2 linked regions of the Schizosaccharomyces pombe genome follow. The protein of the gene in region 2 interacts with the protein of the main gene of each other region in a pairwise test. Each region holds a gene or a part of one and is shown on either strand. Other genes may lie near its edges. The genes, in order: mis4 and psm3.

What was found.
Region 1: the proteins of psm3 (region 2) and mis4 interact in binary tests that used the Schizosaccharomyces pombe proteins (3 or more experiments, as listed by UniProt).

The regions. Positions count from the first base shown.
Region 1 is NC_003424.3:390,726-399,707, reverse strand, and holds mis4 (adherin Mis4), read left to right. Parts: upstream 1-2,768; 5' UTR 2,769-2,818; coding exon 2,819-2,927; exon of another isoform or gene 2,928-2,966; coding exon 2,967-3,162; intron 3,163-3,205; coding exon 3,206-4,541; intron 4,542-4,584; coding exon 4,585-5,052; intron 5,053-5,096; coding exon 5,097-6,880; exon of another isoform or gene 6,881-6,920; coding exon 6,921-7,056; exon of another isoform or gene 7,057-7,095; coding exon 7,096-7,752; exon of another isoform or gene 7,753-7,792; coding exon 7,793-7,870; 3' UTR 7,871-8,080; downstream 8,081-8,982. Other genes in the region: ATP-dependent RNA helicase Dbp10, read left to right, coding at 1-160; ATP synthase complex assembly protein atp25, read right to left, coding at 371-1,999; pre1 (proteasome core particle subunit beta 4), read left to right, coding at 8,535-8,982. UniProt on the Schizosaccharomyces pombe protein: Plays a structural role in chromatin. Chromatid cohesion molecule required for equal sister chromatid separation in anaphase. May form a stable link between chromatids in S phase that is split rather than removed in anaphase.
Region 2 is NC_003424.3:1,220,018-1,227,961, forward strand, and holds psm3 (mitotic/meiotic cohesin complex ATPase subunit Psm3/Smc3), read right to left. Parts: upstream 4,842-7,944; 5' UTR 4,820-4,841; coding exon 4,805-4,819; exon of another isoform or gene 4,762-4,804; coding exon 1,192-4,761; 3' UTR 952-1,191; downstream 1-951. Other genes in the region: Ino80 complex HMG box subunit Nht1, read right to left, coding at 1-423, 478-686, 738-780; rio1 (RIO family protein kinase), read left to right, coding at 5,582-5,708, 5,794-5,919, 6,022-7,262; autophagy-associated protein kinase activator Atg17, read right to left, coding at 7,399-7,944.

The sequences.
Region 1 (8,982 bases), 830 kb from region 2:
CTATCACAAACAAAATAAACGTAATAGAGAGGCTAAAGAAAGAGGAATAGGTATTAAGGTGAACAGTGAGCTTAAATCAGCTGTTGAAATTAGAAAGGCGCGTGAGCTCAAAGAGAAACGACTTGCCAAAAACAATCGGCCGTCAAAAAAGCATCGATAATTTATATTTTTGGGTAACTAAATGCATGAATTTTTGCATCGGCGTTAAAAAATTTTAGTTTAGGTTTATTTACAACTGGGTAAATTATAAAATACTATTGTTAATATTTATTACTTGTTCTTATTGAACTAATGAAAGAAGGGGTAGGTTTTAAAGTAAACATTACAAATGCGCGTATATGCATACGTAGAAAGTACAATAACATCAGATTCAATGCGTCATTGAGTTTTCCATTTTTGCAATATAATTTCGCACTGATGGAAACGAATGTGCATACTTTTCGGGTAAGCTTTGAACACATTTTTTTAAAGATGTCGCCATTAATTTACTAGCTGGAATGGGGGGTGACTGGCTAACCATATCCTCAAAAATGTTGGTAAGTACATAATTTATGACACGCTCATTTTTACTTTCGAAGGCCAAAAGGTATACGTGATTGTATAAACGTTCATTGAAAACAACACCAGCCTTTCTAAGATTATCCCAACGACGCCAAACTTCGCTCCAACGATTGCTTTTTGCCAATATAAATTGCATGAGTAGAAACGTGTCAATAGTCATGGGTATTCCATAACGGTTCATAATCCTTTCCAAAAGAAATATGCGGTTGTCGAGAAAGAAGTTTGACTCCCCTTTAACCATACAAGAGCATATCATAAATTTTAAAAAAAGTAGTTTTAGTGAAAATGAATCGATGGTTTTTAGATCGACTAAAGATTTATACATTAGTGAAAGATACAACATCCGCTCACTAACCAAATTTTTAGAGTGTTTAGAAGCCATACTCAACTTTGTTGGAGACAAAGCTATAGTACTGAAAAGCGTATTGATATCCTTTGTAGTCAGTTGCAAAGAAGAATCTTTTCGAAGTCGCTCAAAAATTGAAAGAGTAAAATCCAAAGAAAAATTATTAGGATTTTGGAGATGCATTTTCTTATATTTTTCCAAAGTACTCGTCAGATTTTGTGAATTGACGTTTAACAAGATATCCTGGGTATCGCAATAAAGGGATGCGGCACTTTTTAAAGAAAAGTTACAAGTATGGAAACTTCTCCGAAATACGTTCGAGTGGTTATTAATAAAATTTGGAGGTAAAGAATTATCAGGTGTAGATTTACTAGTGAGTGAGACCCTAGATTGTTTGCCATGTTCGAGATCAGAATACAAAGTTTCATCCTTAACATGTTCAATATTGTCCAGTTTATAGTATTCCCTAAAATTTTTTGTAATTACATGAATGCTTATGCCGAAGTTTTCGATACTGAGACATGTCCAATTATTTTCAGACGTGTTTAATTGTCGGTTTGACAAATTGGAACGTTTCCTCATTCTCCGTTCTAAAATTTTTCTCCGAGATGCACTAGTAAGGCCATCTACGTTCACCGGTCCAACGTTTTTTTGTTTTAAAAGGCGAAGTAAGCCATTAGTAGCGGATACAACTTCAGATCCACAGTTGCAAGAAGCTAGTAAAATAAGATCTGAATCACACCAAAAAGAATCGGCGGGTGAGTTAACAAAACTGAGATCAGTGGCATAATACTTCTTTTTAAGAAGGTTTAACACATCAGCTAAAAAGTTTGGAGCACCTTTTGGAATAGGTGGCAGCGCAACCGCATCGAAATGCGCTTTTTTAGGAAATAGATTATGTTTTTCATCCACATACCATGGTTTTTTGCTTGAGACTTCCTCTGGTTGCGAATTAGCGTCATTACTTGAATTATCAGGAACTAAATTTTCAGGAAACTTTTGAGAAGCGAAAGGTCGTTTGTCAAATTTGCTTCGAAAAAAGGAAACACATAGTTTGTTGAAACGTAGATAATTAAAGCGATATGTGGGCATTTTTTAATAAAATATGAAATCTCAGCACAGTCATTAAAAATATAAGAATTAATATAATTGAAGTGTTACCTTATAAAGCCGAAAAAAGAATTTCTCAATGCTGTTCTATCACAGTATAACATGAAGACATTGTCTTCTGTTTGAATAGTAATAGATAAAACTTAGATTAAAGCAACAAAAATATTTAGTATGTTTTAAAACAAGACCGCAAATTATTAGGAGAAAACCAAATATTTAATGACCTTGGCACGTTTTCCTAACCAAGAGACCGATTCTAAATAGTGTTCCACTGTAGAAATACGTAATCACCAATATCCGAAATGTACGAACGTTTCTTATGTCAGCAATACTACATTACGCTATGATACACTACGTTGCGTATCACTATATGTCACATGTTCTAATTATATATCGTACCATTTATGATACGATATGGAAATTAATCTTAATGATAATCTATTAAGATCTATATTATCTGAATACTATAAATAGAGCTACTGCTGAACTCGTTCCTCAGTTCAGTTATGAGCTATATTAGTGATAGGTAACATTATAACCCAGTTAATACAATACCTATACTCAGTTGCTACTTATACAACCTGTGTATTGTAATATAATAGATCACAAGGAAAACTCACCGCAGTTCTACGTATCCTTAAATCAGATACCAAACTGCGTAGCTTACATCTTAATTGCATTTTCCCGTTTCGGTCTATTGCCTTAAACTTGTTTACGCTTTATATATACCGACGTTTCTTTGTTTTTAGATGAATGAATTTAATGATAAATACTTCCCTTTCTTAGCTTTGCAATGTTTTGATGCTTTTCGAGATGACACCTGAAACCTTTAAAAAAGTTAACTCCTCTAATCGAATTATTAAAGGGCTTCAATACACACCATTAGCATCATCAATCCCATTGGAAAATGGTATGCATACAGTTTGAACGCGTCTATTAATTTACATAGGTTTACAAAACGTATTATATCCATCTTCTAAATTTCAAAATGAGCCATTGCAACTTAACTCCGAAGAATCAAGTATTATGCAAAGATATGTGGATATGCTAAATCCTGGCGCAACATTCGTTAACGATTCTGAAACCTTTAATTTTTATAAAAATGCTCTTAGCGCTATGATAACGGAACCTGCAATGCCCGCAATGTAAGTTAAATTTTTTGAGGTTTTTTATCTGACAAATATAAAGGAGGGTGAATGCCAGTCCGGTCCTAGACCAAAAGGTGTGTAACAGTGACTCGTTAAGTGAATTAAATGATTTTACAAAATCTCTGATTCAGCCAAGTATGTTGATGTGTGAACCCAAGGAGAAACCTGATGCTTCTTCTATAAATACAAACCGTTCATCTTCCGACAATGGCTTCTTAACTCCGTCTTCAAGTCCTCGAAGTCCATCATGTTCTCGCGTATTTAACGCTGTTCAATTATGTAGCCCTAAAAAATCTAAAGATGATATTACTACCCCAAAAAAGCGACTTATGGAAGACACTTATTCGCCTCGTGAATCTCCCTCAAAGATCCAGCGGTTGCAGGACGTTTTGTTAAAGCAGTTGCAAGATACCAGATTACTAATTTCTCAAGTTATAGAAGCTGAGAATTCGGAAGATTTTTCATCGAATTCTCTCTTTATTAAACGAGAAGACGATGATGGAAAACACATTTCATCGCACGCAATTGAAAAGCTATATATGGCATTAACCAAGCTTAGTCGTTTGGGAGCTTGTGACAAATTGCTGGAAGAAGGGAGTATAATACTTGTAAAACAAATCCTTGAGAAAGAGTTAAAAGAGCTTCCTGTCGCTTGTTACAGTATAATTAATCTTCATGACAGCCTCACACAATTTCCGAATTTAGACTTTATTTTAAAGACCACTGCTCTTGTTCTTTTTATAATATTTCTGGTCCCCTCCTTTAAAAAGCTTCAAAATGAAGAATCAATTCTTCATTTACTTAATATCTTACATTCCATATTTGAGTACACAGTTCCTGAAGCGATTGATAACATCGTTCAATCAAAAACTTCCGATGCTAGGACTTCTGAAATTCAACATCTATCAGTTTTGTTACAAAAAGTCGCAAATGTATTAAACATCTTATCTAAAGTTGCCCATGAAATTCCCTTGTCGGAAGCTGTGGTCATACGCATTGTATATTTATTTCCCAAAGTCTCTACACTCGACAATTCCTTCAAAACTAAACTTCCTAACTGTAACAGCTCATCCTTCGATTTTCTTAAAGCTCCTTTATTTCAAACGTTACAATATTTATTTCGTCTTTATCCTTATCAGCGAGATTTTATCATTGAAGAATCACTTACAAATTTTTCTCACTTGCCCACTGCTCGTTCGGTCTCAAGGACCTATAGACTCTCTAACGGTAAATCCATACAATACTATTCAACCCTATTTGTACGTTTAATTCAGTCATGCTCCATTCAAAACTTATTCGACTCAGAAATTGTACAATCGGAGAGCAAATCCACTGAAGCTTTACACTCAGGTAACTTAACAGAACATCTGAAAACAGTATGTAATGAACACTAAATAAAAATCAATTTCTAACGTGTAGGTCGAATCAATACTATCCAAGTCTCGACATGAAGAATACCGGATAGCTAATCATATTGTTGCTTATTTGCTTAGTCGTTCTTTAAAACAGAATAAAACGGAGAGTGACAACTCATTTGCAATTTTAACCAAAATCCTTTTAGAAGATTTATTAAACATGCTTTCTTTGCCTGAATGGTGCGGAACCGAAACAATTATTCGGCAATTTGCAATGAATTTAGTTATGACTGTGACTAACGACAAACAAGCAGTTTCTTCAAAGAATGCTGCGCTGGATCTTATAAGTCTCATCGTTAACAAGGTTTTGGCATTGTTTGATCTTTCCCTTTTCGAGAAGCACAATATCCCAGCTCCTACGAATTTCAATGATATAATATCGTTCATTCCCTCAATTACTAGATTAAATGAACTTTCTCAAGTTAGCTTTAACCATTTTTACTTTTTATGCAAAGGTGACATATCTCTGGAAGTAAGTGAAAGTTAATTGCTTGTTTATTATATACTAACTTACAGAACATACTCCCTTATAACTACAATAAATGGTTTTCATTTCTCTTACAGCTTAGAAAAGTATGCAATGACTCCGAAGCTTTAAAAATTATTGATAATTGTATCGATAAGAATATGCAAAAGTCTCAAGAGGGGTTTCAAGGTCCTTCACCATTTAAAGCAGATGAAAATGACGAAGATATTTTCATTATATCCCTTTATCATTCTTCTTTGTTTTTAAATTTAAAGTTTTTTGTCTCGCTCATTATAGGCTTTCTCGATAGTCCTCAAGCTAGTCTTCGAACTAAATGCCTTCGAATCATCAATCAAATGAAAACTATACCTTCTATATTAAGAACACATCCAGAAGTTTTGGCTCAGATAATATCAAAATCGAATGATCAGTCTGCGATAGTTCGAGATACTGTGTTAGACTTACTTGGCACATATATCATGGCATATCGGGAGACAATTCCTCAAATATATGGTTGTATAATTTCTGGAATTTCGGATCCTTCAACAATCGTTCGTAAACGCGCTATAAAGCAACTATGTGAGGTTTATGAAGCTACCGAAGATTTAAATATCCGTGTTGACATAGCTTCAAAACTTTTAACCCGGAGTAATGATGAAGAGGAAACAATCAGTGAATTAAGCCTTGAGGTTTTAGAAAAACTTTGGTTTTCACCCGCAAGCAATGAATTAGATTGTCAAAAAGGCTATGAGCAATTAACTTTCTTAGAAAAGCAGAAGTTAAGAGTTCAGTATTTTCCTATTTTAAAACTATGTGCTGAACCATCAACCGAAAGACACGTCCTGTTGGTAACGTCTCTGAAAACCATGTTGACTTCTAAGGAAGAGATCAATTTGAGTACACTACACACTCAAATTCGACTTCTTCTCTCTTGTCTTTTCAATCAGCTAATAGAAGTTGTAACCGAAGATCAAGTTGATGAATCAACAAAGGGAATTTTATACGAAATAATGAGTACATTGTTTGTTTTTTCACGCGCTTTTCCCTTCCTCTTTGACTTGTCTTATCTACACCTCTTAAAACCCTATTTACGATCTGCTTCAACTATTGAAGAGCAACGTTTTCTTTACTATGTAGTAGCTATTTTTAGACAGGTTTTACCATTTCAAAAAGAAATTTCTGAAAGCTTCCTACGGAGCCTTGAATCTGTGTTACTGCAAAGGCTTACTAAAGCCGGTACTGCAACGTTAATGGAAATAGTTCCTTGTCTTTGCAGCCTATTTACAAGACTTAATGATTATGAAAGGTTAAAGAAAATTGTGGTTTCGTGTCTTAAATCTTTAGAGGAGGCACGACACTCAGAAAACAATTTTCAAAAAATGGTTCGCTTAATAGACCTCATTGGGCTTTTTTCTAGATATGGGGATCTCAATAGAATAAATGATGATTGGAAACATTCACTTGATTTTATTAGTCCTGAGTGTGATGATGCTTACGTTATACTATTAGGTTATTTTCAGAAACTTCTAAAAGATGCGAAAGGTCAGCTGAGAATTCACATAATTGATAACATGAGCAGAATATGTTTAAGAGAAACATCTTTGTTTATATCTCCTCTTATGTTATCAACTTTGGATATGATAATTGCGGAAAATAATGTTAACGAAGTATCTGTTTTGTTTAAATCTTTTCTTGAGCTTTTGGCCGCGGATGAGGATCTTATCTTTGAAGCAGATCAAAAGCTAAGTTTAAAGGGTAAGCAAAACGTTCAGTCCAACAAATCAGTTGATCGAGATATGCTTAAAGGAACTAAGGATAAACAATGGATTGAAGGGTATGTATTTTATAAACAAACTATCACTAATTTAATGCAGAGTCAGTGCATCTTTAATGCAGCATTTCCTTCCCTGTATTCTTGACTCTTGCTTTTCAAAAAATTTAAGGTATTCAATGCTCGGAATTGAAATTCTCAAATGTATTATTCATCAAGGACTAGTAAACCCACGCATGGTATGCCACTTTTTACTTTTTGATTACTAATTAAATTAGTGTTTCTCAACCATAATAGCACTCGAATCCAATGCAATTAAAGAAACCAGAGAAGTAGCAATTTTGCTTCACACTGAATTGCACCGAAGACATGAATCTTTGATAGATGGCTTATATGCTCAATCTGCAGATTTAATATTTTCCCTTCAAAAAACGGAGGAATATCAAACATTTAAGTTAGGCGAATTTTCGCCGTTCCAAAGTGCCTATACCATTGTCTCCGCTGATAAAAGTTCAAAATCTAGGAAAAAATTAATAATGCAAATATTAAAACCTCTTAAACTCGACGGGATTGATTTACCCAGCTTTACAGAAGAAAAAGTTTCATTTGTAAGCTTTTGCTGTGTATGTCTGGCAGGAATTCCATACGTGTCAATAGAGGAACCGTTAATGATCATTTCAACAGTTGATTCGGTGCTCGCGACGATAGGCCCTACTATTACTGGGTGGATGAAAAAACTAGATCATGAACGTTTTAAAATCCTTGCAGGTATCAACTTGTGCAATTTGATATATCTTAAGAGATATATAAAATACGCATTTTCAATTTCAGACTCATCTCGACCTATACGTGAGAAAAAGCCTCTAACTCTTTTGAATAGAGGTTATGTGGATTTAATTACTTCTGATGCTAAGCCAGATATTGTTTCTAAGTTGGTAAGTTAAAGTTCCTTAACCAAATTGCTGACTGTTTTAGGTGATAAAATTGTTTGAAGAAGAAAATATCCTTTCTGGCGAGGATCAAGTTGAAGGGGAACAGCTTACAGTTGTCTAAATGAAAAAAGGGATTAAAAAAAAAATCAAAAAGCTCTCAAGCAGTATATTTCAAAAATATTTATTTTATATGGGTTATCAATATTTTTTTATGAAAAAACAGGTTATCCAATTTGATTTTTACTCACAATAATAGGCAGCAACATTTAAAAGTTCTGAACCATGAATACAACTCGCTCCAAATTTCATTTATGCATTATTTAATACCAATAAGACATTCTTTTCATTTATTGTTTAAATAAGTAACAAGTAAACAGCTTGAGATCCTTTTAATTAGATGTTAAGACATAACTGTTAAATGACACTGCTAGTTCTTTAACTATTAATAATAAGAAACAATCATTTTTAGAATAGTAAAGGAACTTGTATCGTCCCAAATTTTTATTTTTTGAATGTAATATTCAAATCAGGATATTTATATGTTGTCAGAGTATTGAATTTTCAAAGTACATGAGTAAGCACGAAGAGATAAACGTGCTACTACGATTACACTACAACGGCGGTAACCTTTAAAAAAAAAAGAAAAAAAGCTATTTCTAAAACACAGACATTTAAACGATTGAGTGAATGATTTCGCCTATAGTTTTCCATTGGCATCTCGTTAGCGTACTAAACGTCTCAGCTCAGCACAACACTTTACCTTTACCAAACCACCATCAAAAGCCATGGAATCACTACTGGCAGTTCAGGGTCAGGATTTTGTACTCACTGCTTCATCATCATCAGCAGTTCGTGGAATTACTGTTTTGAAACCTGACGATGACAAAAGTCAGATTTTAAATTCGCATAATCTTATGTTATACTGTGGTGAAGCTGGCGATACTACTAATTTTGCTGAATACATTGCAGCAAATATATCTCTTTACACTTTAAGACATAATTTAAATTTAAGCCCTGAAGCTACCGCTTCCTTTACGAGAAAGCAACTTGCTACTTCACTTCGTTCGAGAAAACCATATCAAGTCAATATTTTATTAGCTGGTTATGAAACGAATTTAGGAAAGCCTGAGCTTTTTTGGCTAGATTATTTAGCCACTTGTGTTCGTGTACCTTATGCCTGCCAAGGATACAGTTCTTTTTATTGTTTGTCTATCTTTGATCGATATTACAAAC
Region 2 (7,944 bases):
CAAAGCTTGTCCCTTCAAGGTAGAGCCTTCGGCCTTTAATTTTGGTTTTTGAATAGACGAAAAATGGTTGAATAACATTGTGTCTGTAATTTTGGCATTAGAAGTAGCTTTTTTAGCTCCAGATGATTTTGAGCTTTCTGTTTTAAGATTTGTAATAATAGGAGAAGGTATTGGATCAGTATTCGTAATTTTTTCATCTTTTGATTGAACAACTTGATTTTGCTGCTCAAAGTCTGCATCTGTGTCATTGACGGATGCATCTTTAGGCTGGGAATTATTTGATGATTTATGAGATATTTCCGACGTGTTGTTTAATGCTACGTTTGTATCAGATGTTTCTTCTGTAGATATCTTTAACTTCTTGGCAGACGGGTTTCCAGCGCCTTTCGTTGATATTTTGATTTTAATACCTTCGGGAGGAGGCTACATATGATTAGTACAAGTATTACAATAAATTCACTCTATAAAAACACTTACAGGAGGAGATGGCTCAGAGCGCTGTCCAAATTCGCGAGATTTTGCTTCACTTTGCAATTCCAACTGTTCCATTAAGATAGCTCTTTCTAATCGGCCACGCTTGACAGCTCTTCGAATAACCTCATATTTGCTTAATAACTCCTGATTTCCTTTTTGGATCTCCTGAATTCTAGCCTTTAAATCCTTGCACTTTTGGCGATATTTAATTTCTGAGTATTCATTAGTAAATGAAAAAATCAATCAAGCTTCAAAATATTCACCTTCCGATTTGGAAATAGATACATGGTATGGAGGGTTTTCCATGGATATAGATGCTCTGCCTTTGATCTTGTTCGCACAATGTAGTAAGTACTGTCGCGAATTAAGAGCACTGACTGGAGGTCTAAAATAGCGAATTTATACAAGTCTTAACGCTACGACATGCTTTCGATTTTTTGAATACAAATAGAAATCTGGAAAAAGTTATTAAAATGACTCTCCATTGGGATTAGAACTTTAAAAAAACTATATGTGAAAGTATCAACTCTGGTAGTAATACGCACTGATTGATTCAAGCGCAATTGCATCATGAATATAAAAATTATAAATTAAGTATGATAAAATTAAATAACAGAGATATTAATGAAAGAATGACTAATAGCAAAAAGATCGGTTTGTCCACGCAAAGAAATTAAAAAGAAAAATGCGAACTTAAATTAACAAACCATAACCATTTTATCCTTCAACGAATGCCATAGCCTCCTCCTTAGAAATCGACTCAACTGTTGAAACTTTGTGATTAAACATTACTCCGTAAAAATTGTCCGCAACTTTCACCATCTCAGGCCGAAAAGTAGTGCAAATAAATTGACTAGTTTTTGACATCTCTTTGACCATCGCTGCAATGGCCGAGCGATATTGTGCATCTAAATTAGCATCACATTCATCGAGTATATTAAAAGGCGCAGGATCACAGCGTTGGATAGCAAAAATTAAAGTTAAAGCACAAAGTGACTTCTGACCGCCACTCAATTGATTAATATTCAGTTGTTCATCATCCTTACTGTTAAAAGAAACTCTTATGCTGATACCTGTATAATTGTCGATCGAGCTTTTCTGGGATGGCGTATCAATGTCCATGGAGATGTCTTGTTCGATGCTTTGACTCAATTCACTTCTTCTATTCATAACCAATTCACCTCTACCTGCCGGAACAAGTTTAACGAATATTTCAGAAAAGCTTTTAGCAACTTGTTTAAAGGTACGCTCAATTGCTTCATCTTTTCTTTGGTCAAGTACTGTCGTAAGCTCACTAATTGACTCCTGAGAACGACGCAACTCTTCTCTCCTAGCCAACAATGAATCGCGTTGTTTAGTAAAATTATTAAATTGCTCATATGCTTTCTTATTAACGCTTCCATAATCTTTAAGGGCTTCGTTGATTTTATGAAGTTTCTTCACAATAGCATTTGAGCTAGTTGAAACATATTTAATAAATGCTTCTTCCGGCAAAACCCCCAATGATTTAATTTTCTCGTTACATTCTTTTTTCCGTGCGAGAAGCAAACTTCTCTTTGCTGCGTTTCTTTCGTTAATTTTTGCATCTTGTTCAATTCGGGTAGCCACTTCGTGCTGCAATTCTTCTAGCGATTCCAATTCATTTCGTTTATCGCTTATTTCAGAATTGATTCTTTGCATTTGTTCCTCCAACCCAGAAGATGAAGATTTAATAATTTGCAATTTGTTTTCATACTTAAGTAGAGATCTCTTTACGCTGTTCAATTCTGATTCGTCTATTCTGTTATCAGAACCAATTTCAGCTTTCAATGGATTCCTTCTTAAATATAAGTTTGTATTTAATTCATATTCAAGAGCCGTCTTTCTTGCTTCTATATGTGCTCGTTCTTTAATGATGGCATCAAACTCATGAGAGAGATTTTCAATTTGACCACTCAAAGACTTTAGTGCTTCCACATCTTTGGGATCAAGTTCATCCATTTCTGAACTTAATTCAGATTTCAAGTCATTAGCTTGTTGTTCAAGTGTATGTAGTTCCAAAACAACAAGCTCAAGCATACGACTTTTATGATGCATTGATTCTTGAAGATCTGTTGTTTCTCCAGTAATAGTTACGAGTTCATCTTTAAGAGGAATATGATCTCTTTCAAATTGCTTTAAACTTAGTTGAGCCTTTTGCAAATCATCTAAGCATGCAGTAATTTTTTGGTCAAAAGATTCAATTTCGGAACGACATTTCTCCAAACTTTCTTGTAAATCCGAGAATTTGATCTGGTATGTTTTAACGTTTTTGATAGCATCCAGCCTGGAATTTCTATAATCACGATACCCGGCAGTTAATGCACCTTTTTTGTCAGATCGATCACCACTTAAAGTAATACCGTTTAATTGATGAGATCGAGCATACTGGGAGGCGGTCTCAATCGATGGACAAACAATGGTTTTCGAAAAAACTTGTTTAATCGCAGCATCAAACTTGGGATCGAACTCTAAATATTGAATTAAAGGTAAAGCATCACTGGCATCAGGATAAGTAACCGCCTTTGGACGAAGCTTGTTCAAAGGCATGAACGTAACTCTACCGGCATTTTCTTTATATATAACGTCAAGAATTTGAGTTGCGGTTTCATCGTTATCTACCACGATATGAAATAGACTGTTCCCAGCAGTAGCCTCAACAGCGACCTTGAAACGGTTATCAACCTTGAAAAGCTCACAAAGTGGACCATAGTAACCTTCGAGTTTCAGACGTTCAGCAATGTCTTTGACAGCTCTAATACCATTACTTGTATTCCGATCCATTGTAGTCCCCAAAGCCTTCTCAGAACGAGAAAGATCGTCCTTAACATTTTCGATAGACGACTTAAGTTTGGCTTCTTCTCTCCACAGAGATTTCCTTTTGTCCGTCAAATTTTCTTTCCTTTCATTAATTGAAGTAATGTTAGCAAGTAGTTGCGACATTCGATCACCTTGAGATTCAAGGGAAATTTCAATTTCCTTTTTACGAGATAATTTTGCTTTGAGTTCATTTTCCATTTCGTCATACTCAGTCTTCAAGTAATCACTGTTCTCCTTTGTAGAATTAATGTTACGGTTGATCTGTAAGAGCTGATTTCTGATCCATTCATCACGTTCTTTTTTGGTAGTGAATTGAGAAGTCCTCGATTGCTTGTCCAAAAGTGATTGCTTCTGATTTTTGAGCAGCATGATTCTTTTATTAAGATCATCAGCTTCAGATACTATAGCGTTATACTTTGGAAGAATTTCTGAAAGCTCATTTTCTTTCTCAGAGATTTTTGACTCTAATTCAGAAAGTATGTTGAGCTTTGAGCTCTCATCTTTCTTCGAAAATTCAATTTGACGTGATAATTGAGAAGACTGTAATTCCAATGCGACTTTACTTTTCATAATATTGGTATAATCCTCATCGTTTTGCTGTTTTTCAACACGTAAAAGCTCAAGCGAGTGGTTGAGCTCTGTAATTTCAGCCTTAATTCGTTCAATGCGTTCCTCTCTTTGAATGAAAGCACCCGAATCATCATCATTACGCTCAAGTGCAGCTATCCGGTCTTGTTCTAAGGCATCCAATACGGAGTTAATCTCATCATGCTCGCGAGAATAAATAGCATATTCCAAGCATCTTCTTTCGTTGTCTTTTTTGTGATAAACTGCAAGATCGTTTTTCTCCTCTTCTAACTCACGCAACCGTTCTTCAATGTATTGCAAAAGTTCATCAATTTTCTCCGATTTTTGAATTGTCTCGTCCATAATTTTATTGGATTCAGCTCTTCTGTTCTCATAAATTTGAGTACCTGCAACCTCTTTTAAAAGTTCTAAACGCTCTGAATCCTTTGCATTGGTTAGGGATGTGACCCTTCCTTGAGGAACAATGTAGTAAGGATTGGATCTTGAAAACCCAGCAGACTCGAGAAGATTAATAACCTCTGTCTTGCTTACAGTTTTCTTATCCAAAGAGTATTCGTCTTTTTTCAATCCAATTGTACGACGCAAGACAACTTCGCTTTTACCGGTGGGAAATCGATTATCAGCATTAGCGAACGTAACTTCAACGTATGCGCTCATGACAGTTGCACCAGGGCCTTCATGCAGCAAAGCTTGTCTTTCTTCACGGCTTAAATGTGTATACGCATCACTTAATACGAATCGAATTGCAGCAAAAAAATTGCTTTTACCAGATCCATTTCGTCCCACAATTACATTGTGGTGAGGGCTTAAAGGCTCTATTACAGTATAATCTTTATAAGATTTAAACCCTTGAATAACAATCTTAATAAATCAGTTAACTGGGGTTCTATAATGCTTTACTTACTTTTGTGATATACATAGATTTGTGGTTGGTTTGGGTTAAAGTATTTACGCGTCGCGTGTCTTCTTTATGGCGTGTAAGTATCAATCTTTGTGGTAACAGAGTTCTAAGAATCTACAACATAATAATTCATTCATACTAACCAAGATGAGAAATTCTTTGAGTTGTTGATGTTGATTTTGTTATGTTTTTTCTATATGAAACTGTATTAACTGAAGATCGTTTGCTTTTCTCTTTACTGCCGCATCAATTTCCAAATATAATATTTCTTTATTAAACTACTGGGAATGCACAATCAAATTGGTAGAAAGCGCGCTAGCTTAATTGAGTATGTGATTTTTTAGATGCCAAGTATGCATTAGTGTTAAATAAGCAAGCTGCTCTTGAGCGTCAGCGTTTCAGTAATGAATTTAAAAAAATGCATATATGAGCTTATGTATTGTTTCTTTTCTATCTGACTTTTTATTGTCAAGCTTTAATGAGGAAAGCCGCTCACACTAACATTAAATGTCTTTTGGAAATGTAATATATATTTTATTGATCGAAGAATGGAAAAAATATAATCCACTAAATTAAAAAAAAAATCATTGGTTTGCAAAAATCATCTTGTAACTTATGGTAATCATAATTTGCTAACTTCTTACATTTTTATATACCAGTTTTATTTACAACAAAAAGTTTTTACTACCACCTACAAAATACAAAAACTTGGATTTGTATCCAGTTCTTTGTCAAATTTTTAAATAAATTATTCTTTTATTGATTTATTTAAAGTTTAAGATGGTTGAGGAGTTAAAAAACGATGCACAGACAAATGAAGAAGAATCAGAATATAGCGACTTTAGTGATGGCTCTGACAATGATTACTTTAGGGAAGACGATATAGACTGGAATCAAGCTTCTTCAAGTAAGTTCATATACTGAATAGCCAAAAGCACTTTGCATGAATTTTTGTTACCATTTTTCATGATCATTAATAACATTTTTACTAGATTATTCTGCTAGACAGGAAAATTTTGGGAATAATTCTTCTAAGATCAATTCAGTTAATGATCACGTTTCTACGCTTAGTCGTTATGTGAATAATATAAAATTAAATGACAGGTTTGAGGCAGAGGGTAAGTGTAATATAGTTTAACTGCTCATAGGTTTTAGAACTCGAGGTCTTTTGATCCTTCACACTTTTACATTTTCATGTTTAATAGTACTGACAAATAAAGACAAGTCATCTATCAAGGATAAAAGTGACCGCGCTACATCTGAACAAGTGCTGGATCCCCGTACTCGAATGATTTTATTAAAATTAATAAATAATGGAACTATATCAGAAATTAATGGTTGTATAAGCACGGGAAAGGAAGCAAATGTGTATCATGCAACAAACGAGGATGGTAAACATTTTGCTATAAAAATTTATAAGACTTCAATCTTAGTATTTAAGGATCGTGACCGCTATGTTTCTGGAGAATTTCGTTTTCGTCATGGGTATAACAAGCGCAATCCCCGAAAAATGGTACGCTTATGGGCTGAAAAAGAAATAAGAAACTTGAAGCGTGTGGCTGCTGCTGGTATTCCTTGCCCAGAGCCAATCTTATTGAAGCAGCACGTTTTGCTTATGTCGTTTCTGGGGGACAAGAAAGGATGGGCATACCCCAAGTTAAAGGATATAGATATGACGCCTGGTGAGGCTACTAAATTATATCAGCTTGTAGCACGGAATATGCGTATTTTGTTTCATGTTTGTCATCTCGTGCATGCTGACTTGTCAGAATATAATTTACTTTATCATAAAGGTAAAGTTTATTTTATTGATGTATCACAATCGGTTGAACATGACCACCCGCAGAGCATCGATTTTTTAAGAATGGATATTTTAAACATTTCTACATTCTTTAGGCGTTTGAATGCTGGTTGCTTATCTTTACCTCAATTATTTAAATTCATTACTGAAGAAGGAAGTTGTGAAAAGGAAGCCATGAAAACCCGGTTAAATGCAATTTATGAGGAAGAACCTACTACAGAAGAATACGAAGAGGAATTCTTAAAAACTTATGTTCCTCGGACTTTAGATGAGGTATACGACATTGATCGAGATACTGAAATCGTAAACGCCGGAGGTGTTAATAGCCTTGTATATAAGCACTTATTAAATACAGACTTTCAAAAATTGGATTTAAATGACACTACAAAAAATCAAAACGATCAAATCCTCCCAAATGAGACTTCGGAGAGCGATGATGATGCAAATTCTATAAGTAGTATGGAAAATGAAGAAGAACGGACTTCGGATTCAAAATCATCTGCAAAACAAGGTAAAGGAAACGGACGTGCAAAGGAGACACCGGAGGAGAAGAGGGCACGGAAAAAAAAAACCAAAGAAGATAAGGCTGAGAAAAGAAAATCCAAGATTCCGAAGTATGAGAAGAAGCGCAAACTAAAACAATCTGGAAGAAAAAAGTAATCAGGGGAAAAAATTACGGTTATTTTATATAATTATCTTTATTGGAAAAGTCTATACAATACTCATAAACTAGTAGCATAACTAAAATCATTATACGTTTATAGACTTTAAAAATCGTAAAATATGGCTAACAGGGTCATCGCTTAGAGGCTGTAGTAGAAGATTTTTCACGTTGCTTCGATTTCTTATCGTTTTTATCAGGAATTACCTTTACGTTTGGCAATTCTGTATATTGGTGCTCTATAATTTCAAAATGTAAAGGAGGATCTGTTACAGCTCCCCATAGAGTCTGGGGTAAATAATCACCATATTGATTGAAAAAATCGATACGACATTTCGCCTCCGCCTGTTGTTCCTTCTCCAGGCGTCCCACAAATTCGTCCACAATGGATCTTACACAATTTTCATAGGTTTGTCGTCTGTGAATTTCCTGAAGGAGAGCGGTATACGCTTTAGCAAAATGTGTGTAATGTCTTTCAAGCTGCACGAGTTCTTGAGCTAATTGCGGAATCTCCAGGCCGGTTTGCGCCCTCATTAACTCATGCGCGGCTTCATGCCTTTGATTAGTCAACTGGTTTTTGTTTAACTCCTCAGCCAAGGCTTCCAAAATCGATGTTGCCGAATCTACCTTTGACTTATAACTTTGAACTGCGTTGAAATAATGAATTGTTTGATCTAATCC